Lonchura striata: one gene and its partner. The main gene of each other region encodes a partner of the protein of the gene in region 2 in a complex. Links are inferred from orthologs where the notes say so. Each region holds a gene or a part of one and is shown on either strand. Other genes may lie near its edges. The genes, in order: GYPC and MPP1.

The links.
Region 1: the proteins of MPP1 (region 2) and GYPC are in contact, whole or in part, in an NMR structure (PDB 2EJY), measured with the Homo sapiens proteins. The link is inferred for Lonchura striata from reciprocal best matches to the Homo sapiens genes MPP1 and GYPC. Residues at the interface, in NP_002427.1 of Homo sapiens: Pro81, Met82, Gly83, Ile84, Leu86, Lys87, Leu88, Leu100, Val130, Gln134; in NP_002092.1 of Homo sapiens: Arg123, Lys124, Glu125, Tyr126, Ile128.

Annotation. Positions count from the first base shown.
Region 1 is NC_134610.1:13,962,884-13,978,518, reverse strand, and holds the start of GYPC (glycophorin-C), read right to left. Parts: upstream 6,258-15,635; 5' UTR 6,072-6,257; coding exon 6,038-6,071; intron 1-6,037. UniProt on the Homo sapiens protein: This protein is a minor sialoglycoprotein in human erythrocyte membranes. The blood group Gerbich antigens and receptors for Plasmodium falciparum merozoites are most likely located within the extracellular domain.
Region 2 is NC_134616.1:18,808,830-18,824,118, forward strand, and holds the start of MPP1 (55 kDa erythrocyte membrane protein), read right to left. Parts: upstream 7,168-15,289; 5' UTR 7,099-7,167; coding exon 6,997-7,098; intron 686-6,996; coding exon 542-685; intron 202-541; coding exon 123-201; intron 1-122. Other genes in the region: F8 (coagulation factor VIII), read right to left, coding at 12,789-12,944, 13,161-13,337, 13,604-13,752, 14,581-14,725. UniProt on the Homo sapiens protein: Essential regulator of neutrophil polarity. Regulates neutrophil polarization by regulating AKT1 phosphorylation through a mechanism that is independent of PIK3CG activity.

The DNA of each region.
Region 1 (15,635 bases), on a different chromosome or scaffold from region 2:
TTGATTTTTGAATAAGTATTTTGTTTTCAAAGGAGGGTAGTTTTTTTGAAGAATAACTTTAATTTTGGCATGAATACACTAATATGATCAGTTTTTCTAGAAAATTGTCCTGAAGATGCAACTACCAAATTCTCCCAGCACAGATGAGCTAGAAAAGGAATATAAACCTGTAAAGTAGTGGAAAGGATGGTGGGTATAAATCCTCATGTCTTTGTGTATGTATGCATACGGATATAAGGTATGTTGTATGTACTTACACTCTGTGTGTATATATGTGTGAACAGACAGAATTCAAACTCGTTTTCTAGGTTTGGTGTTACTGAAAGAGGATCTGCTCACAACTGTAAACACCTACACATATGTAAGGATTTGATGTCTGTTTCTGTATGGCTGTGAACTTGTCACACATGTCCTCTATGGTGTGGACTGCCTCATAAAACTAGATATTTTAAACATGTAGTCCCCAGTAAAATAGGCATTTATCACTCAAAATAACAAAGAACTGTCTCAGGGTGTGTTCAAATGCCCCCCTGCAACTTACTGATAAAAAGCTTAACTCTGTTTCAGAGCTTATCTGCAGAAAAAAGAGGTAGAGACCCTCACGAAATAACTGAATTCTTTCTTCCCTCTTAAGATGAAAAAGAGAGGCAGAGGAAAGGAAAGAAAAATCACTTTAAAACTCCAATGCAGCAGAACAAGTTTAACCCATTGAGATTTTTAGTGAAGTATTCTGCTTCATCAGGAAGAACCCTGTGGTGAAACATATGTCAGAAGAGAAGAAGATATGAGAAACTGGCGTCCTTTGCATATGAGATGATTAATTAAGAGGAAAATCACTTGGCCAGCTGTCTCATTGGTGAAACTACACGTGCAAGGTACATCTGCAATAAAGGATCAGTTTACCACAGGCAGTGCATTTGATTTCCAAGCTAACATAGCAGAGACAGGAATCTGGTGTGAATTAGATTGTGCTGACTCTTCGAGAAAGAGAGGAGTCCAGATCTTATTTCAGTGTCAAATTATGAGCTGCATGTCTGTTATAGCATAGCAGTGTTGGTACTTGATGCAGTTATCAGTTACAAATAAATTATCCAGGGAGGGGAGGCCTTTCCTCCATTCATGTTCATAAATTATTGGCAAACAAACCCTGATTTCTCCAAGTGATACTTTTCTCCATTCTCTAAGCAGTTTTTCAGAATGCTTAGCAGCTGGTGAATTTTTCATCTGATCATTACTGCGGTAATGCTGTCAAATTCATCTGACTTAGAAAATTAAGGAAGTAAAACACAATTGTCTGCTGCCCGAACACTTGCCCTCCTAAGGTGTTCCTATATTCTTGTCACTGTGGCATCTAGGCTTTTCATGCATTTTCTATCACAAATTGTATGTGAAGCAAAAAATTGTAAACAAAGCTCCTACTCATGTCAAATGCTGTTTTCAAAGGTTTTCTGATCTTTCTATGGGAAACAAGCAGGCCAATTCCTAAATAACTTCTGAGCTATGTGTTTTTCCCTGAGCATGCATTATAAAATTAGGCAGTGGGAAGCAAAGAGCTGTTGCACCAGTGAATCTACTGGAATCAAACAAACTCCTACCACCCCAGCTTTTCCCAGATAAAAGCTGCCTCACTAGCAGTGTCCATGGAGAGCAGTGATTTCTCTCCCACCTGTAATCTCTCCTCTTTACCAGCCTTTTGAAGAAGAGGTGACTGTACAGCACCTAGCAAAATCAGATCCCTCTCTTGGCTTGAATTTCTCTATGCTATAGGAATACTGATCCCTCCCCAACAATAGAGACAGGCACTGCACAGAGCACACACACAAACAGATTTTCATTAGACAATGCAGTCCTGAAAGCCTGTTTGACAAAAGACTTTGCTGATTGGACTCAGTCATTTGAACAGTGATGGATACAGGGTATATTACACAAGAGCCTAGAAATAAAGGTGCAGCAGTATCAGCAATGAGATGCAGACACTGCATAATGCTATAATATTAACAGGCTTAAGCACACAACTAGCCACAACCTGAATCTTTAACATCTAATGTGTATTTTTTAAATGATGCTCAGCAATGCTGAAAATTGTGTATTTTAAAACAGAAGATCCTATTTGAGTCGACATCCTCCCTATTCTCCCCAGCTCAGTGGTTTGCCAACATATCTGCTGTTAATTACTGCAATTTCAGGTGCATTCTGAGTCTTTCAATTCCTAGACTTTCACATAAATGTGTCAGACAGTAAGGGTGTGAGGAGAGCCCTGGGATATAAAGCCAAACTTCCCAATTCGTATGCACAGTGGTAGGAAACAAACATGCAAGCAGAAACATTCAATTTACATAAATACTTGTAGGATAGGTTTTGAGATTTCTGTGCTAAAAATGAGAGGTTCTTATAATCTGTAGGTTTCCTTGTGTATAAATGCTCACTCATGAAGACCAAATTTTCATAATCAATAGCTTCTGTTTTTGTTTATCATTTACTGTCACAGGCAAGCACTTCTGTTGATTAAGGGCAATGAAATCACATATATTGCCAAGGTGTGAATAACACAATTAAAAACCTAAAGGGTTCATTCAAGGCTTTTCACAAACCCTGTGTGAAAGACAAGTGGTATTGCTCCAGAACATACAAAAGAATCAGTTTGCAGCCCCAAAATATATCTCATTATGAGCTGAAGATGTGGAAAGGCTGTTCTCAGAACCACACTCCCCATTCACAGCCAGAAGTCACTCTGCCTTTATCACATTTGCAAGGTCTCAGCCTCTCTGAGAGGACAGCCCACACATATGTGACTCATTTTGACAGAAGCTCTGTCACTGGGGCAGGTGGAGAAGCTGGGGCTGATGGAGCCAAGACCTCTTGCTTGTAAAACAGAGCACCAGACTCTGCTCTCCTGAGCAGGGCAGTGCCTGGGTTACTGCTGGAGGGCAGCTGGCAATGCAGAGGGAGTGCATACAGTTCAGGAAGGGTTTGCTTCACCCTCTTCCTCACCCTCTATCCTTCCTCTGCAGCTGGGGCATGGCCTGAGGACCAGCCTTGCTTCTGGGTTTCCTTTTGGGCCAATTCTTCTGCACTGCACACATCATACTGCTTTGCTATCTCCCCAGGAAGAGGATCTTATCTGTTGATGGGTGATAAGGAAGAAAAGCCTCCACAAACTGTTCTCCTTAACCACTACCTCCTCTGACAGATGTCATTTGAAATATAAGAGACTCCACACAAACATTCCCAGCCTGCTGGTACAGATGAAATCCTGTAAATTGCCGAGCACCTTCTCCAAAGGGGTGAACACCTTTGACCCAAAAAGATGGCTTTGCACAGATCACTGCCTTCCCAGGTTGAACCTTTGACTTGGTGACGTTTATTGTCCTAATCCTTCACCTCGTTTGAGCTGTCCCACTGCCTCAAGACAGGGTCACTGCAGTCTAACAGGAAGAGGGCAAAAGCTGCCAGCTGAATTGAGACTGCCAAACCTGTGGAGTTCCTCAGGTTTCATGGTTAAGTCACGCTCGTTCATCTGAGCAGGAAGCAAATGCATCACAGAGTTAGTGTCCCACTCACCTGTTACGTGTACAGAGATCCCATTCAGATATCTGGGGGATATCTGAGCTGGACATGGGAAATATCCAAGGTGAGATGGTGGAGCATCCCCATATAGAGGTAGAATACATTTACAGACTTCACAGAGTTGAATATTTAAAATCTGAAACAGTGTGTGCTCCCCCGTCCTTGGATTGACAGGATCATACCGCATTTATAGAATGAATAAAAATTCCTTATCAGCCATCGGTGAATACAAGGAGATAAGCAAAGTACATGTGCAATTAGGTTACTTAACACTGTTCAGTTTACATCAGTTGGCAGCTGCTCTGTGGTCTCACCTGCAGGTATTCAGCAAAGAATTCATATGTTCGGTATACATATCAAAAGGTTTTTGATGATTATTTTGAGCATTTTCACACCCATCTCAAAGATGTTCTGTGTGGCTATGAAGCAAATTTGTTTTCCCAATTATTCTACCACTCTGGCAAACATCTGCTGTCCATGCTGCATAGTGCCTGTCAATACACTGAACTTTCAATTGTTTCTTGTCTTGTTTCTTACAAAAATAGCAGGAATTTTCATAGGAAATAAGGCCCTTTTCCCAAAGACCTTCCCTTAAAACCTCAACCATTATCAATGCACCAAACTTACATTATACAGAAATATGGTATCATTAGACTTCCCTTTAACTTTTGTTCCTAATCTATAAATTTTATCCATCTAATTAAAAAAACAAAACAAAAAAACCCAAAACAACAAAACAAAACCAAAATCCCCAACCAAAGACAATACATCATTACTATTTTTCAGCCAGAATACTCCTAGCTGGATTGAAAGCAATTTGTTTTCATGGAGAGAATCTTATGATCTTAAAATAGTTCAAGTTGAGAATTCCTGTCCACATACTGGAAAAAAACCCAGCAGAAGCTGATGCATCTGTCTTTTTTCATTATGAGGAGACAAAAGGCCCCATGGGACATGAACTCCTCTTCCTGTTTCCCCCTAGGGCCTTCGGTGTGGTTTGACAACCTGGGTCTGCCAGAGAGGTTGTTTGTAATGTATTCAGAACTGTAGAGCTGGTCCTGGATGTGTCACTTGGCCAAGCTTGTCACTAAATGCACAAGACTGAGTCTGGACCCTTGTTGATATTTCACAATACACAAGAAGAACCTCAGTGAATCATGACCACCCTCCTGGACATGCTTGGAAAGCAGCAATAGCAGTAATTTACACAATCTGTGCCAAACCCAAGATCTCAGAATGCTGAATTAGCCTGCCTGTATCTTTCCTGGCTATAACAGAAAACAAAATACAATATTCTAAACTGCAGAATGGAGTAGAATATAATATAAAGGTAACATCTAATCTTTTTTGTTGGTTAGAATCTGCAAAATGGACTAAAGGGTAACTAGAAATTGCTGGTTGGGATGCCACAGATTCTGCTTGCTGTGTCTTCTCTCTGGATCAGCGTGCCTCATTCAAAGTTTGGAAAACTTTGTCAGTGTCTACAGCCATACAGAACAAATATCCTTATAGCAGTATCTGGATCAAATCCTGAATTGCGGGCTGCTCCCAGCAGGGCTGTCTGTACTTTCTACCTTCATTTTTGACACCATGGTCTGACAAACAATTCTGCTATTGGCAGTTAATTTATTAAAAATACAACAAATGTACTTTCTTGAATTAAAACAAGAAAGATCACACTAAAGCCATAAGAAAAAAAAAAAATATATATATTGCAGCACCAAAAACTCAAGAGTTTTTCACAGCTTAGCAAATCATAACCCACACTCTTTCCTTCACTTTTCTTTTTAATACTGTCCCAAAATGAACATTACCATAGTGCAGCTGAGCCTCTGTGCTCGCTTGACTGTTCGGGCCAAATTCTCTCTTTTAAAATTTACTGAAATATGCAGTTATGGAAACAGAGGACTTGCCTTCCTGTACCCTCTCTTGCTGAAGAACCAATTTGTTTGTCTTTAAGCCCATGTTTCTAAATTTTCAGGAGCAGAAACACATTGTGGCTTTAAATATAGACCGTCAGTTTGTGGCTTGAGTCTCACGTTACACACAGACAGCTTGAGACTCTAAACGCAAGCTGGGCAGCACCATTACTGTCTTAGAAAAGCGTCAGTACGCTTTCAAAATGCTCTATAACTTCATTCCTGAAGTGGGGGGAGGGAAAAACATTCAAATGAAACTTTTCTAAGCTGGGGTTTAGGCGGAAACGTTACTAGCTTTGCTTGGTGCTGTTCAGGAGCCAGAGTTTGCAGAGCCCGTTTCAGTTCTCCCCTCGCACACGCGCACGCACACACACAAAGAATTAAGGAAGAAAACAGCTTCTTCACAACTTTTTTCCTTCAGAATTAATCTCAGGCTTTTTTTTTCTTTTTTTTTTTTTTCCATACTAACTGCATTAGACAATCTGCTCCTTAAGCAGCGGACTGATAAATCCACTCTTATTGTAAGGGGGGAGGGGGGTAAGGGTACTCACGTGGTTGAGATGTCGCATTGTTTTGGGAACTCATAATTTACGCCTTTGAAAAATGCCTTATTTGTGGTGACAGCCTCTCTTCCCTGCTCAAAACTGACGGCGGGATTGAACAGAACAGCTGGAGGAACCCAGGAAAATGCTCCTCTTGTTCGGGCTCTCCTTGCCTGGCTCCTGACCCCTCCACAACTGGAAAAGGAAACAGCACATGTGTCATTCTCTTTTGCCTGTGCAGCTCACATGAGCGGGGAGGGGCACCCATTTGCAGATAGCAGTAACTGTATTCGAGTTTTGCAAGTTGGATGTATTCCACCCCTTTGCTTTTATTAGCCAGCAACCAGTGGAAAGAAAATGCTCTCTTCATTCTTAGCCAAATCTAGACACACCTATTAAATCCACTTCCCAAACCCTTATCCACTGCTGTTGATGTTATTACTTTTAAGTGTAAAACTTGCTGCTGACTCCCTTTCCTAAAATGTCTACTATTAGTGAGTAAGATTGAAAGTAGGACTTTCAATTTGCATTGCTCATCGTCCCCCTTAACCCACACAGTCTGACTGTTTCTGTCCTTTTAACAAGTGAAAACTGAGGATGGCATTTATTGGGTCAAAGTAGTTACATCAGCATATGCCATGAATCTACACTGTGCTCAGAGCAAGGAGAAACCTGTGGCTACAGCACAGGCTGAGGCACAAGTAACTCCAGTTACTGACACAGGCTTCCTATGGCACCTTTGGAAAATATTTAATCTCTGCTCCAGTTTGCCATTGGTAGAATAAAGATGAGACACCTGCTTTCTCCCTAGTCTTGGTATTTTTGTTTTAATGTACAGGCAGGTGTTATTTGTAAATAAGATGTATTTTATTGGGCTGCAGAGGTTAATTTGCCTACTCCACTGAAAGTTTTTCAGCCTGGACTAGGGTGCCAGCTGCCTTGTTTATATAGCTACCATTTAAAGCTATCTGGCTGTCTGCATGCTGTGCTGCAGTCAGTGGCTTGTAGTCACTGTAAGTGTGCATACACAGCCTGTCTGTAGCTGACATGGACTAGGACTTCTAGGTTATGCCAGAATACAGATTATTTTTAATGCACATGCCTTAAACACTAAGGAGAGTGGACAAAATTTCCATTTTCCTGGTGTCTGTTATGGAGTCAGGATGAATTAACAGCCTGCCTGTGACAGCAGAAACATAGTCACCATCGGATGGAAGTGGAAAAAAACAGAGTAATGAAATTCAGGCTGAGGCCATCCTGTTTTGCAAAATTGTCACAGGATATTTCTGTGAAATCATCTCAGTGACCACCTACAAGAAATCAGTGCCCTGAACTTGGCTCACAGTATTTATTTAACAGCTATAGGATGGAAAGAACAGTGACTTATTTACATGCCAACAGCAACTAACAGCTTGTTTGTGAACATAGATGCAGTAAATTACTTCAGTCAGCATTTCCACACTCTGGGCTTGTGGTAGAGAGCTCTGGAACATTTAGTGATAGAGCCAAGCAAGGCATAAAACAAAGACAGAGGAATAATAGCAAAAACTCCTGACGTTGCTGCACTGGCTTCAGCTCCACAGCGTGACATTCATTTACACTTGATAGCTTCTCTATGAAAATACTGATGGGCATGTTTTTAATTACTGCTTCTTCTGTGTAAGAAACACAATGTGCAGAGGTAAAATAAGGGGTTTCTAGAACTGTTGTCATGTGAAGTTTTTACATTTAAATCTTTCATCATCATGATCAAGGACAAGTTGGGTGGCCTTGGAGCAACCTGATTTAGTGTAAGATGCCAGGAGGGTTGTAACTAGATGATCTAACCCAAACCATTGTATGATTCTATGATTCTGTGATGTCTAAGAAATTTCAGAAGTTCTATTGAGAAAAGGTTCCCTAGCTGCTTGCAGGTGATGTGAAGGATTGTAGTTGTGATGGCTTTATTATGTTACAGCCAGTGGCCTGGACTGTCTTAGAAATTTTGTGGCACACTACTCAAAATGGCATGCACAGTTAGGTCCTGGTGCTTAACCCCTCTGCATCTGTGCAACACTTCCTGTCTCTCTCTGTGTTCTTATTAAAGCTGCCCTCCCCACCACCAAAATCACTGGAAGACTTATACCCAAGTTATGTAGGAGGATTCTGGCAGGTCCAAACTCACATGAGAAAGTTCCCTTTAATGTGTTGTTCTCGTCACTTTTTTGGGGACTTCTTTCTTTGCTTATTGAATAGACTGGGGTTCCCAGAAATCAGAGAGCCATTTCCCAAGGCTATTTGCTCTCAAACAGGCCATTAAAGAGACCTGCCTGACCTTTCCACCCATCACTAATGGGAAATATGTGATGTTGTCAAGGGAAGCAGCATGCAGCCCAGCATGCTTCCAGGGGAGTCTGAGACTGGGCACTGAACAAAAAGCATCTCAGTGCTCTCAGCCAACTTATCATGTGGGACAGGAGGCAGCAAAGGAACCCAGAGCAAAAGATGGGAGTAGAGTGCTGGTGGGGAAAATGTGTGATTAATCATTAATTTCCTATTTGAGTGAACTCTCTCCTAATCTTAAATAGCAGTTGCTTCTGGCAAAAAAACCACAAAAGCTCCCCAAAAGGGTTAAAGGGAGGAGATAACAGAAGGGTATCTGACAATAATTTTTTATCTAAGGATTGGATTCACTAGGTCTGTGGGAAAACACAGGTATGTTAGGAAATCTGTGTCAGCCCTGTGGCTTCCATCAGCCAATTACTTGATCTCAAGGCCATGCTGTTCCCATTAACCTACAGACGTATAGCTTTCCTGCCCCAGTGAATACTTTTGCATATCCAGCCTTTGAAATAATCTTTTTCTGAATAAGGAAATGAAAATTCCCTTTTTTTTTTTCTTCAGTAGTGCTTTCAGATGTGACAGTGCTTTCAGGTCCAAGGGTGTTAGCTCAGGAGTGGGACCTCTTTTGCCTCCGATACTGCAATTTATCCTACTCCTCCTAAGCCCAGCTATGTAGTGAATGCATGGTCAGGCCCACATAGTTGTTCTCTTTGATGCTATCTTTCTCCAAGATAAATGATATTTCACAGTCATTCAGGCTTGGCAAGCTGATGCCGCATGCTGCAGCTGTTGTTCCCAACAGGAAGGGAGGGTTTAGGCTGCACTCAGAGGAAAATAAATAAATAAAACAAAGGAAGGAGGCTCTCTCCAGGAAGTTATGCTTCGCAACAACAGGACATCACACTAGAAATCCCTCTCTCTGATGGATTTTCATGGCAAAACATAATGCATAATCTGGAATCTCATCCTGTAAAGGCAATGGCAAGATTGAAAGGGGCTGAGTGGAAAGATATCAATCATGTCCTTCACTGCCCACCCTGCCCAGCCTGCAAGCTTCAAGAGAAGGTGTTTGGATCCATCCTCTACACATTTGAGGAGAGGATGTAGCAGCAGTTGTGCCTGGCTGTGAGTTCAAGATGGGCATTGTGGCAGCACTGTGGGCACATTCAGATGAGCCAGGGGCTCAGTGTGCCACTGGGCTACATGCCATGGTCACCTGGCCAGCTGGCAGGAGACATGGTCTTGGCTTCCTCCTCTCCTTTGCTGGCTACACACTTCAGGCTGCCTTAAACACCCTGCCAAGCTGCTGAGCAGGGTGAGGTTGGGCGGAATCCCAAATTTTGAAGACTTTGTGCAGGTCAAGCACAAGCAGAGATTTAACTGCTAGGCTGAATCCTGAAGGAGGGTTCTTCATAGGAAAGCATTTGGCTCTGGACATCCCATGAAATACTATTTTCGATGGATTATCTTTATCTCCATCTCTGTAAGGAAAAATAGTTCATTTATTTGTTACCTTGTGTGTTGGGTTCTCCCCCCACCTTGTTTTCTTTCTCTTTCCCATTTATTTTTGTGCTGAAAGAGCAAGGAATTTTGCCATAGACTGTGTGGATCATCTCAGCTCTGGTGTAAAGTCATGGAGAATTAAACCTTTGTGATGCAAAAGGGATCAATGGAGACTTATTATCCAGGATGGACTGTGATGATGGTATAACTCATGTTTTATGTGGTGCCTCTGCAGCCTGTGACTTTAAGTGCAACAAGATTGTGAAATCCTTGGAACACAGAGAGGGAATTTTCTGTCTGCATTCATAACACTGAACTAGTTCTTGACCCTCATACAAGGCCAGAAAAGAAGATTTTACCCTGGAGATAAGAGATCAGCTCTCCTTCCTACTTTGCATCCCAGGCATTTGTCTTTATTTTTACCACTCCCCTGACTTCTGCTTGAACCTTTGGAATATATTCTTATCCCTGGAACATGTATATCCCCTGCTTTATCTTATTGCACAATTATTTGCAGATAAAGGATGTAGTATGCCTGTTTGTGTTTAAGGTTCCCACTTAATCTGTTAGTTTGCTTGGGTCAAACTCTTTTCCATTTGTGTCTGTACTCAGGGGAAACTTTAGTGTCACTACAATGCAAATGCTTCTCAAAACATGCCTACTCTCTGTGAAATTGAAGTATAAGGAGGCTCTACATCTTCCTTGATTCTGGTGCTTGGCTTTCCATGAACTGTGGTTCATTTAATGATACCATAGAAGGAAGATGTGTAAGGTCAAGAGTTCAGTGGTGCAGAGTCTCTGTAACTCTATAGTATCATCATGTCCAAAGATCAGACAGGATGTCTTAAAGCCACTGCCTCCTCTCCAATATAATTTCCAACACCACTGGAAAGCACATCTGCTCACACTCTAGACCAGTCAACAGGATGTTGACATGCAGTTTGATAGTGAATATTTGGAACGTATTTGGTAATGTCATCTGGGTAGATGTGGAGAGGGTGAATCATACTATCAGCTCTTGCTGAGTTAAGAAATCAGAGCAGGCTTTAGCACATGGATTTCTCATAACAAAAGAATAGAATGATAAATAAAGTGAATCATTCTGCAATTTAAAACAAAAGGGAAGATTTGCTCACACAAAGTAGAATTAAACACTGCAAATCTTAATTCCTGGAGGATCTAGTTTGACGAGTTTGATCTTCAGTTTGACTGAAAACTTTTACTCTTCTTTACATAGATGGGACTGTATTACTGCACCATAATTTTAATAAGTTGGGTTGTTTAGTTGTTGCATATTAGAGAGTGTCCAAAGGAGGGCAGCCAAGATGGTGAAGAGCTTTGAGGGGAAGCTGAGCGAGGAGTGGCCGAGGTCACTTGGTCTGTTCAGCCTGGAGAAGAGGAGAATGCAGGGAGACCTCACCGCAGTTACAACTTCCTGGTGAGGGGAAGAGGAGGGGAAGGTACTGATCCCTCTGTGGTTACCAGTGACAGAAACCAAGGGAATGGCTTGAAGTTATGTCAGGGGAGGTTTAGGTTGGATATTAGAGAAAGGTTTTTGACCCAGAGCATAGCTGCGCACTGGAAGAGGCTCCCTAGGAAGTGGCCACAGCACCAAGCCTGACAGAGTTCAGGAAGTGGTTGGACAATGCTCTCGGGCACTTGGTGTGACTCTTGGGAATGGTGCTGGGCAGGTCAGGGATTGGTCTAGATGATCCTTCCAACTCAGTATACTCTGTGATAACTCTGAAGTGGCCAGAAAATTGAACGTCAAGAATTCTGATGATTGTGGACCCTGTTGTGTCTTATTACCTAAGCGTTAAATTTTGTTTTCATGTCTATTTACATGCAGGTGAAAATCCTCTCAAAGGTTGCTAGTACAGCATCTGGCCTGTCCTTATGTAATGTAATAATGGGCTTGTTTCTGAGCTCTCTGGGAGATTGGATCTCCTGTACTTTAGCAAGGGCTTCAGACTCTCCTCTCCCCTTTTCTAGCTTGGATGTATGAAGCACAGAGGTGATACATCCAAAGCAGAAATCTTTCTAATCACAGTGCAAATGCTTTGGCCAAAGCAGTAACTGGGTTACATCCAACAAAGGTGTTAGATAAGTGTGTGCTTAAAATCCATTCCTGAGTCTGCTTCCCCCCTTGCAGCAACTTTTAGCCAAACAGACTCAGCCGGATTGGCTGATGATATTTTCTAAAATATAATAACTGAGGCATTTGCTCTTTTAGCCTGTATGTACTATTCTCTCCAGAGAAAAAGGCATCACTTTAAGATTACTTTCTTCTCTAAGTGCAAGAGCAAAAATCTTGTGCTTCTCTTCAGAGATACTTCAGTGAAGTTTAGTGTTTCAACCTCCTGTCTGAGCACAATGCTGGCATGTGGTAAAGTCACAGTTACACTGAATGAAACTAAGGCTCCATAAGGATGTGTGTGATGACCCCAAGACCCTGTTGCTTAGCACTGCTCCTATCACTGCTTTAAAAATAACTCTGCACAATTATTAGCTGAAGGGAGGGTTGCACTTCATTTTTCTCATAAATAATGTGACTTGAGTTGGTTTTATTTTAAAAGAACCTTAAACTTCAATAATTTTTCTTTAATTCTATTACTTTAATTACTATCATGAGGATGTTTATGTTTACTGACTTAGGTTGCTTCCCTTGTTAAGTGATTAGTTAAATAACTAGAAGATACAGTTAGCAATACTAATGGAATTCATTAGAATCCCATAAATAACTTGGCACTGTGGGGGGAAAGAAAGGGTTTACAAGAGATTAGAACAGACCTTAGTCCTCCCAAGGTCCCTCAGGGTGTGTTCTCCTCTCTTTCCTGACTGTAACACTTGCAAATCCTTAGGCTCTTGGAGATAATTCCCAAAGTGGCAAGTGGTTATCATATCCTGCATGCAGAGCATCAATACTTTTATGTTGGTAGTGTTGGTTTGCCTTTTTATTGTTCATTTGTTTTTAGTGTTTTTTTGTTTGTTTGGTTGGTTTTGGAGGTTTTTTGTTTGGGTTTTTTGTTTTGGTGGTGGCTGATTTTTGTTTGTTTTGTTGTCTTTTAAATCTTACTTTAAACAACACCTAAAACACCATTGGTATAGGATCCACAGAACCCCGGGGTAAACTTACAGCTACAGTAGATATAACTTTTTATTTTCTGCTTCCCCCTGCTAAATGGGTGGTTGTAGTTCTCTCAAATAATAAAATATTAATCTCACTGAAGTGAGGTTCCTAAGTCACTGATAAGAAGTTTGTTTTATTGGTTCTGTACAGGGTGTGGGAGAGAAAGAGCTCTCCAAGTGCAACTAAATGCCCTGGGCATGGCTATGCTTGAGGCCCACTTTCCAGTGAGCCCAGCTGAAAATAGGATATGGTTTTAAAGCCAGATAATCTACTGTTCCTTTTATTTGTGCTGAGTGAGTTCTTATACAAAAATGGATATAGCTGTCTGCTGTGATGGAAGTAAAAATTTAGAATGGTCTGTTCTAATAATAAATTGCATGCTGATAATTTTTCTTACTACAGTAAAGGCAATTCAGCTGTATCTGATTGGCACTAGTTCAAGATTTTTGAAGTTCTTCAGCAGGAGAATATACAGCTGCAAGAAACAGAACAACACTAAAAAAATCTCAAACTGCACATGCTGGGATGGCAACAAGCCCAACTGCAGCAGCTCAGCCACTCGGGCACTGGGACACACAACGAATGCTTTTGCTGGCAAAATTGCACAATGAGTTTTGTTTTTGTTTAATGCAGAGTCCAAATGGGTAAAATGGTTTCCTTCTGGGTACAATGCCTTTCACTTCCTCAAGCCTTATTTACATGACATGTACAAATGTGGTTGAAGATTTCAGCTGTCAATTCAGCAACACTCATGCAGATCGACTTTTTATTGTCCTTGTGCTCCTGTTAGGCATGGTAAGCATTAAACTGCAAGGGAAAGATGAGATGCTGAAAGACAATGTATAGAAATTATTCCTTTCTTGAAATGAGCTACAAGCAAACTCAACTGAGATAAATATATATACTTCACTATGAAATATGCAGTGCTTTATTTGGAAATAGTTTTCTTCCTTATTAAATCAAAGAGCTGCCCAGGAAGTTATATTTCAGAACAATAAACATAACTACAGGGAAAATATCTGAATAATCTAAACATATCTTTTCTCTATGAGGTAGATAAATATGAATTCTCTCTTGTGAAGTCAGGCTGAAAAAAATGTTACAGGGAGAGTTCAGGAATTGAATTGGTTTATATCAGGAAGCCTTGAGAAAATACTTAGTTCAGAAATCTTCAGGATGCCTGGATCTTGTCAGTTTTTTCAAACACTGAAATAAGAGCTGGAGTAATTCTGTGTAGCACAGTGCTACACTGCTGGTTCCTCTCTGGGATGTCAAACTTTTATTGGAGAAGGATTGAAGAATGCCCTTATGGCTTCCAGGATTTAAGAAAACATGAGGTTTCCTCTAAACTTTAAGCACATGATTAGGTTTTGATACAAGTTAAAAGCAAGCTGAAAGATTTTTGTGATTACCAAAGGCTTCCTATAAATATTCATATATGGACTCTTCCTCTACAGCATCACTCAAAATAAATTTCCTAATTAGACTCTACGATGAAGCAGTCTATTGAAGAAACTTTCTAAAGATAAGGGTTTGTGTCATTTTATGTACATTCTGTGTTTGAAATATTAGTCACATAATCTATCCTAGTCTACTGCATACCCTCTGGAGTCAAAGGAGGAGATAGAGGTTTCCAGAAGATTATTCATTCTGTGTCTAAAGTTAGGTGCAATGGACTACATCACATCCAAAAATTTTTTCTTCTCCCTAAGAAAAAGCCAACACCGTTCTTTGCTGAGATCCAGACATAAAGGATGTTGCAGCATTTTTACGAATATTTAAATTTGCTATTTCTATTCTGGAACTGTTTTGTGCTCCTCCCAGAGGCCATTCTGCTTGTACTCAGCAAATGCAAATGGACAGAATCCCTGTCTTTATGATATGAAAGTGCTGGTATGCTTTGGAACAGTGGGCAATCAAATCCTCATTTAGTGAGTGTAACTGATTACATGCACTATGTAGCACGAATAAACACTCTGTGTTAATTAACACTCTCTATCAATATTCCACCATTTGAATTTTCACCTGCCACAATAATCTGCAATTTTTATCTTCAAAAGCTAATTCTCAAATGTCCTCTGAAGTGCCCTGCTGTGGTGGGTTAGCCCTGGATGGACTCCAGGTGCTCAGCAAACCTGATCCGGCCCTCCCCTCCTCAGCTGGTCAGAGGAGAGAAAATGAAATGGAAGGTTTGTGCATCGAGATAAGGGCAGGGAGGGATCACTCATCAGTTATTGTCATGGGCAAAACAGACCTCCCTTAGGAAAAAAAAAAAATCTTGTCAATCAAATCAGGGTAGGATAGTAAGAAAGAAACACAAATCTTAATCCACCTTCTACCCATACCACCCTTCTTCCCAGGGCACAACTTCACTTCTTATTTTTCCTCCCTCTTCCCCATCAGTGGCACAGGGGGACAGGGACCGGTGTCAGTCCCTCCCATGCTATCACTGCTGCTCCTTCCTCCTCAGGGGGAAGGCTCCTCACACCCTTCCCCTGCTCCAGTGTGGGGTCAGAGGAGAAGCTTCAGGAGCTGAGCCTGTTTAGTGTGGAGAAGAGGAGAGGGGATCTCATCAATGCATATAAATATCTCAAAATTGGGTGTCAAGAGAATGGTGACAGACTCCTTTCAGTGGGGCCAGTGACAGGATAA
Region 2 (15,289 bases):
ACAGATGTCCATGTCACAGGGGAAAGCCAGCAGTGCTGAGGACCTGCATTACTGCTGCATGGAAAGAAACCACCTGCAGATGTGCACCTCATGCACCGCTTCTTCTCCAAAGGCCTTGTTACCTTGTCTGTGAATCATGCCCCCATGGAAGATCCTGGCCACCATGCAGCTCTGCTTGTCATTTTGCTTCAGCGTGATCCCCTGGAAGACAGGAAAATCCATGACTGCTCGCTGCAGGGGAGAGCTCTCCTGCCTTCACAAAGTCCTCTCCAGGCCCATGGCCACAGTGGGCTGTGCAGTGGCTGCGGGGGAAGACCCTGCTCGGCCAACTCAGGCTGCTGCAGCTCCTCTCGGCACAAGCATCACCACCCTTTGTGGGGCTCGCTTCGGGTCCCCGGGCAGAAGGCAGAGTCCAGCACCTTCTTCCCATGGCCGAGATCTCCAGTGACCTGTTTCCCTCGAGGCCGGCCTGCTGGCACAGCTGAAGCTGCCCCTCCACCCCCCGGGTGCCATCCAGCTCTGGGGCCTTGCAAGCTCTCACCATGGGCTCCTCGGTGACCTTCTCGAACTGGACAAGGCGGATCTTGCGCACCTCGCGGCTGCTGCTGTGCGAGGGGCTGCCCAGGGGCGCGGAGCCGTTGGTATAAATGTCCTCAGTCATGGCGTTTGGGGACTGAGTCATGGCCTGTCGGGGCAAAACAGACACCGCGGTTTAGGGGCTCCGCCTGGCACTGCTGGATCCCCGCTCCGCGGCTCAGCTACTCAGACGGATTAAGGTGCCTGCGGCGGCAGGTGGAGCACAGGGGAGGAGAAGACACTAAGGGCAGGAAAAGAAAAGGAGAAGAACCTCAGCCTTGGAGATGTGGATGTGGATCTGTAGTATTCCAGCTTGGGAAACACAAGAGGTAGGAAAAATTTGGAAAAGCTACAGGTAGAAGAAGCCAAAAGACTCTTTGCTCTTCTGAAGCGAAGAGTCACAAACACTCCTTATGTGTCACAGCAGCACTTGGCTCACAGGTAGCTTGTTACAGAGCATAAAGCCCAGGACTTCTTCACTAAGTGAACAGAACAGTTTGAGACTCACCTCTGAGAAGTGGAGACAGGCTTTGCTCTGGCTCATTTTGCAACTTCAACCTTTCCTGACCTACATCAGTGGGCAACTGACATGGTGCAGTGCCAACACCCAGGCACTGAAGGCAGTGCTCCCAAGCCAGCCAGAAACATTCCATTCCCCTTCCCAGATCCTTTCATGCTGGCTCACACTGGGAAGCAAAGTACAGGCTCTCAGTGCTGAGAAAACCTCTGTTCTTGGTTTCCAGCAAGTGCTGGCACCAGGGCTGACAAAGAGTGCTTTGGGTCCCATACAAAGACCTCCAAATCCATCCTGCTTGGTGAGCTTCTCCCTCACAGCCCAAGAAAGCCTGACATGGTCCTGTTAAATCCCTCAGACACACGGGGCAATGTCTCTACACAGCTCACAAATGTGCTTGTTTGTCCCCAACTGCAATGGACTTTTCTCAAGCCTCTTCCAAATCAGTGCTGGCCCAGCAAAACCCAGAACCAGCTTCAACCTGCAGTCTGTGCCTGTCCTGCTGACACAAATTCCCACGTCACCCCACGATGCAAAACAAACCCTCCTGGCTGTCCCACTCCACACCAGACTCGTGGCTTTGCTGCCCAGTTTGCAGCCTGCACCCTTCCCTCCCAGCAGTGCCTGAGCAGAGAGCCACAGCCAAGCAGGGATACCCAGCAAGGTCCTCACCAGCTTCAGTCCCGCATCCGTGACGTGGCCATGCCCAGACAGGCAGAGCCAACACCTCTCCCCACCACAGGCTGCCCTGTCAACTGAGCACCAGGGCCAGAGGCTCCATGCCAGGAGCTGGGAAGTATCAGCCTGATGCCCCTGCCCCAGCTTGCTCTCACTCACCCTAGACTCCTGACCTGGAGCAGAGAAGCTGCAGCCCCACACTGCCAGGTGGGGAGGCAGATCTGGTCAGGCCAGGGGAAGGCTTGTGAAGAGCACCTGCTACTGGGCTGTAGCCATGGCACTAACCACAATTACATGAGCTTTGGTAGGGATGTTCTGGAATGCTGCTGGCTGAGACAGTCATCCAGCTCTGTGCAATGGCAGAAAGCAGGGAGGGAGCCAAAGAAAGGGGCAGCAGAGTCAGGACTAACAAGGATAGCAGGAAAGGTGCTGGCAGAGAGGGACAGAGCAGGCAGGGTCACTGTCACAGCCCACAGAAAGGGCACTGTGGGGCTGGACCAGGGAGAGAAGGGCTCAGGGAGCTGTGTGCCCAAGATGCGGTGATTTATTTTTAAGCCAACTACGTCCAGAAGTGCCAACCAAACTCCTCCTCAAAAGGAGACCACGTGGGTTCCAGCTGCCGACAGCTTAAACACGGAGAAGAAGGCTGAATAGCACCAGAAAAGCACCCAGGCCACAGACTTGCAGGGTGGAAGGAAGAACAACTTGTATCCATCCCCCCAAGCCTGGCTTGCCAGCCCACGATGCTACCACACCATTTGCAGTGCAGAGGAACAGATCCAGCAGTGTGCGTGCCTAGAGCTGTCCCACAGCTCTCTGTCAGCTGTGCCATCTGCCAAACCAGCAGGTGCAAGAAGGAATAGGAGGACAAGGACCTTCTCCAGCCCGACCTGAGGCCAAAGTGTGGTGGCTGGAGCCAGCACAGATCATACTTATCTTGGTCATGCCTTGGGAAAGTGTTAGACCATGCAGTTCCTGGCTTCAAACCTCTAGGCTCAGCAGAGCCTGATGACCCAGGACACAGCACAGTCTGCTCCAGGGACTGGGAGTTCCCATCCTCACCATCCCCATCAGCTGAGCCTCCTGGCCCTGACCTTTGCTTTTTGCTGAGAGCTGGAGAAAACACCCAGCTGTCAATGCTGACACAGCACCAGTGTCACTCTAGTGACTCTGGAGAACAAGGTCTGTCACCAGAGACTGGCTGCTGTGCCTGCAGATGGCCACCGGTCACTTGATGGCAGCTCTGAATGCAGAAGGGTTCTCCAAAACCAGAGCCATACTGGGATGGTGTGGGCTTTTTTGCTGATGGCACCGGCCATCCAGTGGATGGGGATGGGAAAATGCCTGGTTCATGAGGACAGCCAGGACCCTCGGGGTGGCAGATTCAGCCCTGATGTTGGCACCCAGGAACAGGAGACGTGCGTGGCTCTCATGCCCCATGCCCACGAGCTGGCTGGCTGGATTGCCTTGCACTCCCCTGGCAGCTGCCACGCTCACGGTGGCTTGGCCCAGCCTAGTCTGTGACCTCAAGAGCCTTTGAGTCACGCCGGTGACTGGCCAGACTGCTCCTCGTGCACTGCTCCACAGGAAACATCTGTGAGTGCTGCTGAGAGCCAGCCTGTGGCCACCAGCCACCGCCAGCTGTGCACAGCCCCGGGCTCGGTCACCGCCAGGGCTGTGCTGGGGCACACATGGGGCAAGGAGGTTGGTGGGCTGAGCTATGCAGCAGGGGTGCTGGACAGCCCAGAACCCAGCAGCCCTGTGTGCCTTGCAGCTGGCTGACAGGGGTGCAAATCCTCCTGCAGAAATCCTGCTCTACTGGCAATGCACACAAGAGCCACCAGCTCCATGGGTCAGAGGTGCCCCACAACCCCTTGTCTGCATTTTCCTCAAGGGCCCAGATTTCTGCCCTGTATCCTGGGGCAGAGGGAAGTATACCCAGTTCCTTGGGCAGTGTTTACCAACAGGGAATGTGGCGAGGATTCCAGGACTTGGCATCCTGTCCCCTGGCGGGGTCAGCACTGTCTGCCACAGTTGCTGCTGCTGCTGCTCCACCAGGCTGCAAGGCATGGGCAAATCAAACATTAACTGGGCAGCTTGTTTGCAGGAGGCTGAAGCAGCACTTGAGGAAAGCAGCACTACAGTGCAAAGGGCACATTCAGAGATTTGGTTCCTGGGCTCTCCTTGCTGCTCTAAGCAAGACACTTCAGTATCAGGTAACTTTGGAAAAACAGTTGCCTGGCGAGTGTGTGGAGAAAAGAACTGCTGGTTTTGCCAAGCCATCCCCCAAAGTACAGCAGCTTGGATGCAAGAAGGAACCCTGGAGCCAGGTTGCTCTGGGATTGCCCTCTTGGCTGGCAGGAAGACATGCTCTTCCCACACTGTGAGGAACAAAATCCCAGCTCCCTCCATGAATCATGACCCCCTCACATTATAATTGCCATTTTGCCATGGATGCGGGCAGGGAGGTTGGGGCACTGCTTGGTGCAGAGGTGTTCTGACCCAGCAATAAACATCTCCTCCCACCCTCCAGTGTTTCCAGCCTTGCCTCCCTCCCCATCCAGGATCCATTTCAGTCTCATACAGCTTTAAAAATACAGCAATGTGTAAAAAAAGCAAAGTAGCAAAAAACTGAGCTTGGGAGCTGCTTTAAGGCTGCCCAGCAGGCTGGGGCGCTAGAGCCACATAGATATTTAGAAGTAATTCATTCTGCCAGGGCCTACTGACTTCTCAAGCCATAGGAACAATCCCACCTAAAATGACTTCTAGCAATTTGATTGAAGTATAAAAACAAGAATCAAACCAACAAACATTTAAACCAAAGAGGATTACATTGCTGACACCAGGAAAAGGCCCAGTAACACCAACAGGTCTCTGTGGGAAGGGGAAAAGAGAAATAGGAAGGATACAAAATGGTGGCAGCCAGAAGGTGCTGCCGGCAATGTATGCTCTCACACTGACTCCAGATCAGAGAGTGCTGCAAAGGAGATGGGCCAGATTTTCAAGGGAGCACATTCACTTTTGCTGAGGCACCACCTTCCCACCAGAAAAGGCTGATGCAGCCTTCCAGATGTGCTTGTGAAGCTGGTAACCTCCAAGGCACAGCCAGTGAAACCACAACACTGACAGAAGGAGGAGCTGCCCTGCCACTCCATCCCAGCCTCCAGAACAAGCCATTCAAAACAGCTTTTTCCCTGTAGCAGTGAAACAGCTACACAGCAAAATACATTTGAGATTAAAACGTTGGAACCAGCCCTCCCCACTTCATTAGTCAAAGCCAGAAGCTTTAGCTCAGCTTTCAACTGAGTTTTACCTGGGGTTGATTCAGGTTTTGATCCCTGGGGACTGTGGCCTCAGTCTGCTTTGGAGCTGCTGCCAGTTGGATGCCGAGAAATACCGCCAGAAGCAAGTGCAGTGCTCCCTCTGCACCCTCAGGATCAGCTCTCCCCAGAATTATCCTCCTCTCCTCCACCAAACTCCCAAAGGTCACATTCGCTGCCCATTTTACAGCTGGGGAACTGAGTCACAGATGATAAAGGGACAAGCCCAAGGTCATCCTGCCAACCATGTGCACAGCTGGAAGTAAAGCCCACACCTTTTTGGTAAATCTGTACTTGTCAGCCAGGAGATATGGCAAAGATATGCATGCACATGGTGAGGTTCAAGAGGAGAGGCCTGGGGTTGTTTTCCAGCAATAACATGGCTTCCACTTGCCATGATTTGCATGCCCCGTCACCACTTGAGGAACACAGGACAGCATTTCCCAGTACATGGCTCTGCCAGAGAAAATGCAGAAGAGAAACCTCCCAGTCACCCTGTTTGACTCCAGACCAGGAGCAGTCAGGCAGACCCAGCACCCTTCCCAAGAAGGGACATTGCTGCTGGGCGATGTCCTGGCGGCCCATGGAGGGGCCACAGCCACTGTGGGCCAGCACCATCTCTGCATGCCCGTGACACAGAGACAGGCATCTGTGACTGGCAAGCTCAGGACACTGCTGGAAGGCAGCCTTACAGAGCTCCTTTTAAAAGGCCTCATGCAGATCTCACTTCACCATCTCTCTCTTTATCCCTACTGAAATAAAGTCACCATAGCACTAGGAAGCTGTAGGGCAGCTCCTACACTTTCCATGCTCTGCTGCTACTGGCAATTGATCCTTGCTCTGTTTGCAGCCAGGCAGGCCCTCTGCCTGGATCTGGGAGGCAGAGGGATGGGAGAGCTCCTTTCAGCAGTTGCCTGATTCAGACACTTTGCTTAAATTATTTTTTTCCTACTGTTTTTCTCAAAGCACCCTGTCAGGGTTAAACCATGAAAAACAGGTGAGCCAGTGGTGTGAGACAGATCTGACAAGCCTCTTTTACATATTTAAATGTCCAACACGATGGGCTAAGGACAGCGCTTCAGGGAAATTTCCTCCCTTCTCTCTCTCAGAGGCTCCCCACAGTTGCAAGGAAAACTTAGCCCAGCCACATTTTACCATGGCGTCACCAAGGATGCCTTTTCAAAGCTGGAAATCTCTGACGGGAGAAAAGCACCAGCTGTTTAACACTGGCAACTGCCGACCTTCTCCTGGTTGCACCCAAGCCACTCCAAACAACACTAAGTGAGGAAGGCGCCCACCCAGCAGAACGGAGGGCTGGTGCAGCCTGCTCTCCTTCTGCTGGAGGTGGGGCGCATGCGGCCACCGGCTGACTCCCTGTCCCGGAGCAGGCGTGAGAAGGGCTGCTGGCATTCTCCTTCCCGGGGAAGAGACCCCCACCCTCCTCCAGCCCGTGCCGTGGACCTGGAGGTTGCTCAGCAGCTGAATCAGCTCATGTGACCGGCAGTTCCAGTTCAGACCAGCTACAACTTTGCAGCAAAACAAGCACAATCTCTCCGCGGCAGGATGCTGGAGCCTTGCTCCCTGCACCCAGCTCCTTGTGCCCTGCCGGCTACGCTGGCTGAGCATTCCCCGGAGGCACCCGCGTCCCCACGAGCATCCCCGCTCCCGGGCTGCTGGGGCCCGGGCACGCACCTGGATGCGCAGCGCGGGGTCTCTGCCTGGGGGGCCCTGCTCCCCCCTGCGTGTGCGGGCGGGCGGGATGGAGCGGCACCGCCGGGCACCCGCGCCGGGCCTGAGCCGGCCGCAGTGCCGGGCTGAGGGCCCGCAGGACAGCGTGGCAGCCGGGGCTCCCTGCGGGGCCGGGAGCGGGGCGCAGTGCGGGGTGTGGGGGCGCACCGGGCCGCTCACCTCGGGCTTGGGCCGGTTCTGCAGGAGGTGCTCCAGGTAGAGGTCGGAGAGCGCCGTCCTCATGCTGCCGCCGCCGGAGCTGCGCCCCGACTTGAGGGTCATCCCGGCGGCAGCTGCGGCCGGCCCCGCTGGCCGCGGCAGCGCTGAGCGGCCCGGCCCGGCTGCGGCGGCGCCGCGGGCTCCCCGCTCGCTCCGCCCGAGTGCGCCGGGGCCGGGCGGGGCCGGGCGGGGCCGGGCGGCGGGGCGGGCCGGGGCGGGCCCGGGGCTCGGCGGGGCCGCCCGGCGGCAGCGGGCGGAGCGGCCGGGCCGGGGCAGCCGGCGCTGGGAGGGTCGCGCTGGGTGTCCCCGCCGCCGCGCGGGGCTTTTCCCCGGGAGTGCCCCCATCGCCTCAGCGCTGTGCCAGCCCCTCGCCCGTGCCTGGCCCTGGCCGTGCCCAAGCACTCGGGTCACAGAGCGCACCCGAGCTGCCCCAAACGGACCGCCAGGGTCACCGGGGCCAGCTCGGGGCCCTGCCCAGGGCAGCCCGAGCGTCCCACCCTGTGCCCCAGAGCATTGTCCGACACCCCGTGAGCTCCGGCAGGCTGCTGCTGTGACCACTGCCCCGGGGAGCTCTTCAGTGCCCGGCCACCCTCTGGGGGAAGAGCCTGACCCGAATCTGCAACTAAACCTCCCCTGACACAACTGCAGCCTTCCCTCGGGTCCTGTGACTAGGGAGTCACCGCAGAGAAGGGATCAGGGTCTGCCCCTTCCCATGAACAAGCTGGAACTGCGATGAGATCTGTGCTCAGTCTCTTCTCCAGGCTGGACAGACCAAGTGACCTCAACTGTTCCTTACAAGGCTTCCTCTCAAGGCTCTTCACCATCTTCATTTCTGTCATTTGGACACTCTGGGCAAGGGCCCAGCAAGGACATGGGGAGCACCTCTCCAAAGTGGCCTTCGTGCGTAACTGGCTCTCACAAACGCATGGTCATTCCTGGCTTCTGCCAGTGTGCAGAGCTCCAGAGTACCTTTCTCTACACTCTAGCAAGGTCTGTCCTCTTCTTGAGCTGTTCTGGGTCTTCCACCTCCTTCAACCTGCATGGGTGGGATGGCAAATCCCTGAATTTGTGAGCCATGCATGGTACAAAGGGCTTCTGTCAAACCATTTCTGCCCTTACTGTAGGTCTTACTGATGAGAGGGTCCAAGTGACATCTGAGCTTTATTTGGGGATGGAAAGTTAATTCTGCTGTATTATTCTTTAAGAAAACATAGAAAGGATTTTTCACACCATCCCTGGGATCCTGGAGGGTTAGGTGTTGCCTTGTACCAGACTCACACATTGTTGCTAGATGAGTTCTCCAGGGTGAATTGGTCTAAAGTTACCGTAATAAATACAAGGAGAAGAAAGAAGGATACAAACTTCTAGAGAAAGGAAACAGGAAAATGGGGGTGGGGGGGGGGTGTGGAAGAAATGGGGTGGAGGGAGGCACAGAGAAAGAAGGAAAATCCATCTTGTTCTGACAGCAACTTTCTCCTGCCTCGTGGGAAAAAAATCTGTTCCTGACTGGGCTACAAGAAAGCCCAGAATGCTGTGAGATGCGCAGAAAAGGAGGTGTGGGAGCTGCAGGCACTGATGTGACTGGCTCCAGCAAACTGCTCTAACACTACCAGGAGCAAAGAGTCCCAAAGCACAGCCTGGACTGGGAGTGCTCTTCTCAGCAGTCCCATTCCTATGGCAGCTGTTGCGCACTTTTGTGGGATCACCTGCCTGGAGTCCTGCATCATCCAGATATAGCTCCCCTTCTTGCCCTATCCTCAGCCTCACACTGCCCATCTGGGACCCTGGGCTTTGTTGAAGGAATTATCCCATCTGCCAGGATTTATGCCACCATCAACAGGGCATGGGCCTGCTTGAAGAAGATAAGTTGCCAATCCACTGAGTAAATGGGTTGTTTATTTATCTCACATGTAGAACAGCTTGAGCTAGGTACCTCCAAAGAGGAACCCCAATTGAAGAAATCCTTGGACAACTATATCCTTACAATATAAGTTCCCCACCCCTCACATGACAGTTCTGACCACTAGTAATATTAGGATCTGGGGTATTCCTGTTCTTTATTGGGTCCCCTCACTGTCTCTGGGTGGGTTGTTCCTTCTCTTATCTCTAAGACTTCTGTGTCAGCTGACATAATGATGGTAATAGCCTTCCCTGCTTCCTTATCTTCCAGCTCAAACCAGCTCTGGGGCCCCCTCTTACTTAACTTGGTAAAAGTTCAGCCTATCTGGGTGGAAATTCACAACTTGTGGTGTAAGGCTTCATCAAATTTAGCTCCTGATGCTAAGCAAGTTGTCTGTACTAAGCGCATAGCAGGGCTGCAGTGTTAGTAGGAGATTAAGGGAGTCAATACCAGGACCAGAAGAAAGACAGCTAAGTGGGCCATGTTTTGTAGCTGCACCTGGTGGAACCTGTGGCCCAGACTTTGTCTGCAGGGTTCCCTGGACAGCCTGATTAGGATGAGAAAATAATGAACTAGAAAAGTCAAAGGGTGCCTGGCTGCCTTCAGCCACAGCAGATGTGCCCACCAGGCTGGAGAATGCTGCTGGGAGCCTCATCTTCAATCCCTGCCCAGCTGACTAAGAAGGGTCTGCAGAGCATTCCTTACCTAGCAGCTGAAACGGCCAGCAAGGAGGAGGGGGAGGTGGATGCACACTGGGGTTGGTGGGGCATGGCTTTGAGATGTGCTGGACGTAGGACCCCTCAGTGCAGGGTTTCTCTTGCACTCATGGGCTAGAAACAGGCTGGTAGAAATGTGGAGTAGGAGGCAAGAGATACAGAGAACAGAGACAAGCCCTGAAGTTAATCATGGAATGTGTAGTAGGAGGGGAAAATGTGACAAGAGACACCTGACAGACAGAAAAATATCTAAGTCTGTTCATTCCCTCTTGGTTGCATATGGGAAAACTGAGATTGAGGAGGTAGTGAGCAGCTTGGCTATAGCTCCTTGGCTGAGCTTGCATTTAAGCTGTGATTACCCAAATTCTGCTTTGCTCCCCATTGGCCATGGTCCCTGCTCAGGTGCTCTCTTCAGCCTGATACTGCCTGTTTCTGTTATGTGCTGGCAAATTTTCAGAGAATGGTGCCCACCTGCACAGCTGCAATAGCTGCAAACACTCCCCACATCTGACTCCGGTGAGGGAGCACACTGAGAGCTCTCCACCCAGCATGAGGGAAGGGAGATTCAGAAACCTCCCTGGCCCATGGCTTATCTGGCTGGGGCTCAGCACTGAAACCACACACACTTTGGTTTGCCAATTAATCTCTGCTTGGGGTTAATAGAGACAGCCAGGATGTGTTTTTTCTTCCAGGAGACACCAGAAACTCTGTGAGCACCAGATCACCCAGCCCAGCAACCCTGGCAGCTGAGCCATGAAAGACAAAAGATCCCTGGGGTCCAGGAGGATTCAACCAGGCAGCCCGTGCTGCAGCAGGGCTCTTTGCAGGCAGGGAATCTCCTGGCTGAAAGGCAGAGAGCTTCATGCTGGTCAAGACCTTCCCCTGCACAGAAACGTCTGTGGCTGGGGGAGGATGTGATGCATTTCAGATCTGCATCGTGCTATGAGGAAACAGCGTCTGGTCTCCATTCCTCACAAGATAAATGTCAAGACATGCTTCCAATAATGGATGCCAGAACTTGGCAGGCTCAGGCACATCTGCCTGCCTGCCCACTACTGCTCTTGCTCAGAAAGTCCCTTCCCTGCTGCCTGGATGGCTGGAGAACATCCTGGAACTGCTTGGGACTGGTGGATGAAGGCTGCTGGGATGCCTGCAAAGATTTCAGCTGTGCTTCCTCTTTGAAAATAAGCCAGAATGGGCTCTGGTGCACAGAGCTTTTGCTCTGAGCTAACCCTGTGTCACCAGACAAATGTGCCACAACATGGCAGCCTCTTTCTGGAGGGAAAATGAGCCTGAGCATCCACTGGTAGAGACCCTGAAGGGTATTTATGCTTCAGCTGGGCTGAAGCACAGGAGAGATGGAGTTACCTTGAAGCTGAGGAAGGATGCCTTGAGAAGGCCCTGAGGTGGCAGGTTTTGTCCTCCCAGGCCTCAGGCAGGGGTGTTCCCTTTGAGAAGCTCATGGTTCATATCCATCTCTTCAGGACAGTGCTTGCCAGGCAGCCTCTCCTCACCTCTGTGCCTGGTTATTGTCGGAATGCAATTGAGCCAAAGGGTGATTGCATCTCCTGCTTGGGCTGTAATGTAATCACTGCCAGGGCCACAGCAAAGGCTCCCTGCATAGCAGAGTGGAACGTGGCAAACGTTCAAGCTGTTATTTGAAACACCAGTTTCTGATCTCCCCTGGGCATGGGTTCCCAGACAGATCACACCACTGGGGTGGTCTGCAGCACATGTCTGCTTCCTTCAGACACAGGCCACAGAGGGGAGATCTCTGTGCACCACACAGCCCGGTACAGCTGCTGGAGGCAGGAACTGGGTGCCTCAGAGCAGCCATCCCTCACACAAGCACCCTGCTCATGGCACAACCCTGCTGTCCCCACCACAGCTGTCCCCTGTGCTGCTGGCAGAGCTGTTCTCAGACCTGCTGCAGGCCGCATCTCAGAGAGGTGTGAGCAGAGACTGTCTGACTGATGGGGCACCCTGGAAGTTCACCAGCAATCACTGGATGTTGCCGGACTGCTGCAGCCATCCTGCCTATCCCACTGTGACAGCACCCAGCTGACTCCTGCCATTCTCCAAAGCCCCCTCATAACCCTGTTTTCCCTGCTACACCAGCTGCCAGGGGCTTTGTGGGGCCACCGAGCTGCCCCATCACAGATGGAGGACTCACTGCAGTGGGGATGGCATGGCACAGGCTCTGGCAAGCTGCTGAAGGAGAAGTGCTGCCCAACAAGGATGACCCCAGGCCTTCCCCACAGCCCTCCAGGTGCTCCCCACCCTCATGAGGTGGACATTGTTCTGGAAGGTCCCCACCCCACGAGAGGAATGAGGCAGGAGCCAGTGTCACCCTGCTCATCATCATTTCTGGAAGGGGAGACATCTGCCACTGCGTGGGGCAGGTGCCAGGGAGGGGGAAAGCACAGGTGTCAGGAAGATGGCTCTGGCCCATGGCACACTTTGCTGGGGGTCATGTCACAGTGGCAGCTCATCCTCCAGGGTCCCTGGGAGCCACAGGCATCCACAGAACTCCTGTGGAGAACAAGGAGGGCTTGCTCAAGGCAGCAACAGAAAGGTGGGGTGATGGCACCCATCCACAGCAGCACTGTGGAAAGGAGACAAAGGGAAGAGCAGGGCCAAATCCCAGTGCTGAGTCAGGTTGAGCAAGAGCTGCCTCCCTCTAGCTTCCCATCCCCACTGATTGTGAAACAGACACTGGGGCCTGGAGCAGGGCCTCCACCCCTCATCCTTATCTTTGCTCTTCCTCCTCCAGGACTGTGCCCAGGACAGCAGCAGTTTGTGCAAAAGGAGGCTGAGAAGCTCTGGGGCTAATTAATTTGTAGCTGGTGGTAATGTTGACTGGGCCTCTGGGGAGACCAAGGCAGAGGAGAAAGTGCAGAGAGGTACTGGAAAATTACTGTTTAATTCTTCATCATTACATCTGAGTATATGGCATCTGGTAGACACAGGAAAAGGCAGATAATGACCCAGCCACTGCGAAGCTGACCAGCCCTTCTCTTCCCCAGCAGCAGGAGCAGCCAGGCCCCTGGAGGGATGGCTCCAGCCTTGGGGAGAGCTCAGTGCCTGGTGGATGTGTGTCCTTGGGCTGGCAGTGCCTCCTCCTGGCCCTGCAGCCATCAGTACTCCTGCTGAGTGTCGCAGCCAAGGAACTCTAGCCGCAGGGCAATGTGGTTGTGCCACTGGCGGGGGTGTATCCTCACATAGCGGGCAAAGAGAGGGGACTCCAGGGTATTCCTCACTGTGCTCTGATGGTCCTGGTTTGCCTTGAAAATCTGGAGAGGAGACAGAAACCAGGGATGCACTTGGCTGGCATAGTGAGGACAGGATCAACCCAGACAAACACCCCTTGGCATGCTTTAAAAAAGGAAGAAGCACAGCCTGGCTCATTGCTCTTGGAGAGAAATCCTGCGAGCATGTTTGCTGCCAAGGGCTGTGCTTGCTGCCCTGAGGGTGGCCATGGGCTCTGGCCATGGAGCAGCTCTGCTTACCTTCTCCTTGCCATTTTGCAGGACTGGGCTCCAGTGCATGCCATCCTGGCTGATGGAGACAGCAAACTCCTTCACAAACATCTGAGTGAAGAGAGCTTTGGCACCTTGGGTTATAATTGCAGTCACCTTCTTGGTTACTTCAAAGTCCACCTGCAGCCACTCTCTGGGGCTGTTGCTCTGGGGAAGGATAGACTGCCTTCAACACTCCAGCAGCAATGAGAAAGACACATTCATTGCAGCTGAAGCCAAGCTGGCCCTGCACTTCCCTCTGCTTCACCTGCCCTACCAGACATCTGCTTGGAGCTGGTGGGCGCTAAATCGGTGTGGCAGTGAGTGTGCAGTTTGCATGGTGCATGTGGCTGTGCACACCTCCCATACAGCCCTGACTAGGACACCCCGCTGGGATCCCAGCTGCCTGCCTGGTATCTCCTCACACAGGTTACCTTTGGCCTCCAGGCGTTGGTCCTGCCCTGGAGGTTCAGGCGGGCCAGGGCCGGTGTCCATCTGGAGAAGACGTTGGCACTGTAGGAGGACGCAGAGATGTGCTCATCAGGGATCCCTCTGTTTTCCATTCCTAAGGGCATGGAGCAGCCTGGAAGAGAGGAGCAGTGCTTGTCAGGGGCTAGAACAGACCCATCATGGAGATGCTTTCTGCCTGCTCACTGCTCCAGCTGTGCTGCATTGCCCTGCTTACAAGTTCTTCTGTGCCTTGCTGCAGTGCCATGGTCCCTGCACTGCCTGAGGCCCCTGTGTGCAGCATGGCTCTGGCCAAACTACTCCCACCTTCTTTTCTCCCTGGAGATTTTATCTAAGAGGAATGTGAAGAATTTCTGGTGTGAGGAAACATAAGGAGAACCTGTCCCCAGGGGGAGGACAAGAATACCTGGGAAGGAGACACCCTGCACATGTGTGATCAGGTGTGCTTGTGCACAGCTGCTCCAGAGCCAGTTGGCAGGTTTGGGACATGGGCTGACAGCACAGCCAGTGCTGCTTTTAGCTGCTGCAGAGCAGGTGTGCAAAGCCAAAGAAATTATCCTAGGGCACCATTTCCCCTGGGGCACTGCTGATCAGAGCCATCTCACCTACTACTGGCAAAACCAGTGTAAAAGCCAACAGCATCTCATTCTGCTTGCTTCCTGCTCCCCCAGACCCAGCAGCTCTCTGTCTATCAGCTGAGCTGCCTCTGGAAGTTTTCTGTGCTTTAGTAAAAAAGCATGTGAGAGCTGGCCCCAGGCTCTCCCTCTGGTACTTTTATCCCTAAGACCACAATGACTTTCAGGCTTTGTTCCCTCAACACCTCAGTGCCTTCCTCCTTCCTCCTCCATAGCTGCCTGGGAGTCCTGGCACACGTGGAGCCGGCGCCCAGCAGCCCAGCAGAGCAGAGCCCAGTTTTGGGCTGGGATGGGAGGGTGGCACGCACTGTTGAGGTCGCAGCCCAGGAGCTCCATGCGCAGCGTGGCTCGGATGTTGTAGTGGGTGGGGTGGATGCGGATGTACCGGGCTACCACTGGGGGGTTGAACCGGTTTTCTTTCACGCCATTTGCATCCACGTTTCCAAAGAACAGCTGCAGGGAAAGGGAGGAAAAGGATTGTTGCACCAGTGGAAAAAGAAACACACAGGACAAGGATTATTGGGGAAAAGAATATTTATGCCTGGCACTTCTGTATCTTATCACCGTACTTATAAAAATGACAACTCAGGGAAATTATTTGAGATGAGGTTCAGGCCAAAGTGTGAGTGGGCCACTAAGAAAGAAAAAGAGAAGAAGAAACTTTGGGTCTGTGCAAATTACCTTGGTTTTATATTTTCTCACCAAACAAGTGTGAGAAAAATAAGGAGAAAAGTTAGTCCTCAAACATTTGAACCTGGGAAAAGTTGTGGCCACAGATGGTGCACACAATGGAGGCTTTTCTGGCTACTCTTCTCCCAGTTTTGATTGATCAGCTTATGATCAATCCCAGGATTGATCAGCTTATGCATATTTAGGTTGTGGGTTTTTTCAAGTGACTGTAGATTCTCCAAATTATCTGTGACTACACAATATTTTTAGAAAGGCAAATTTGCCTTTGAGGTCAAAAAAGATATTCAGGTAGAATCTTATGCCTAGCTCTAAGTAAAAATGCAACAT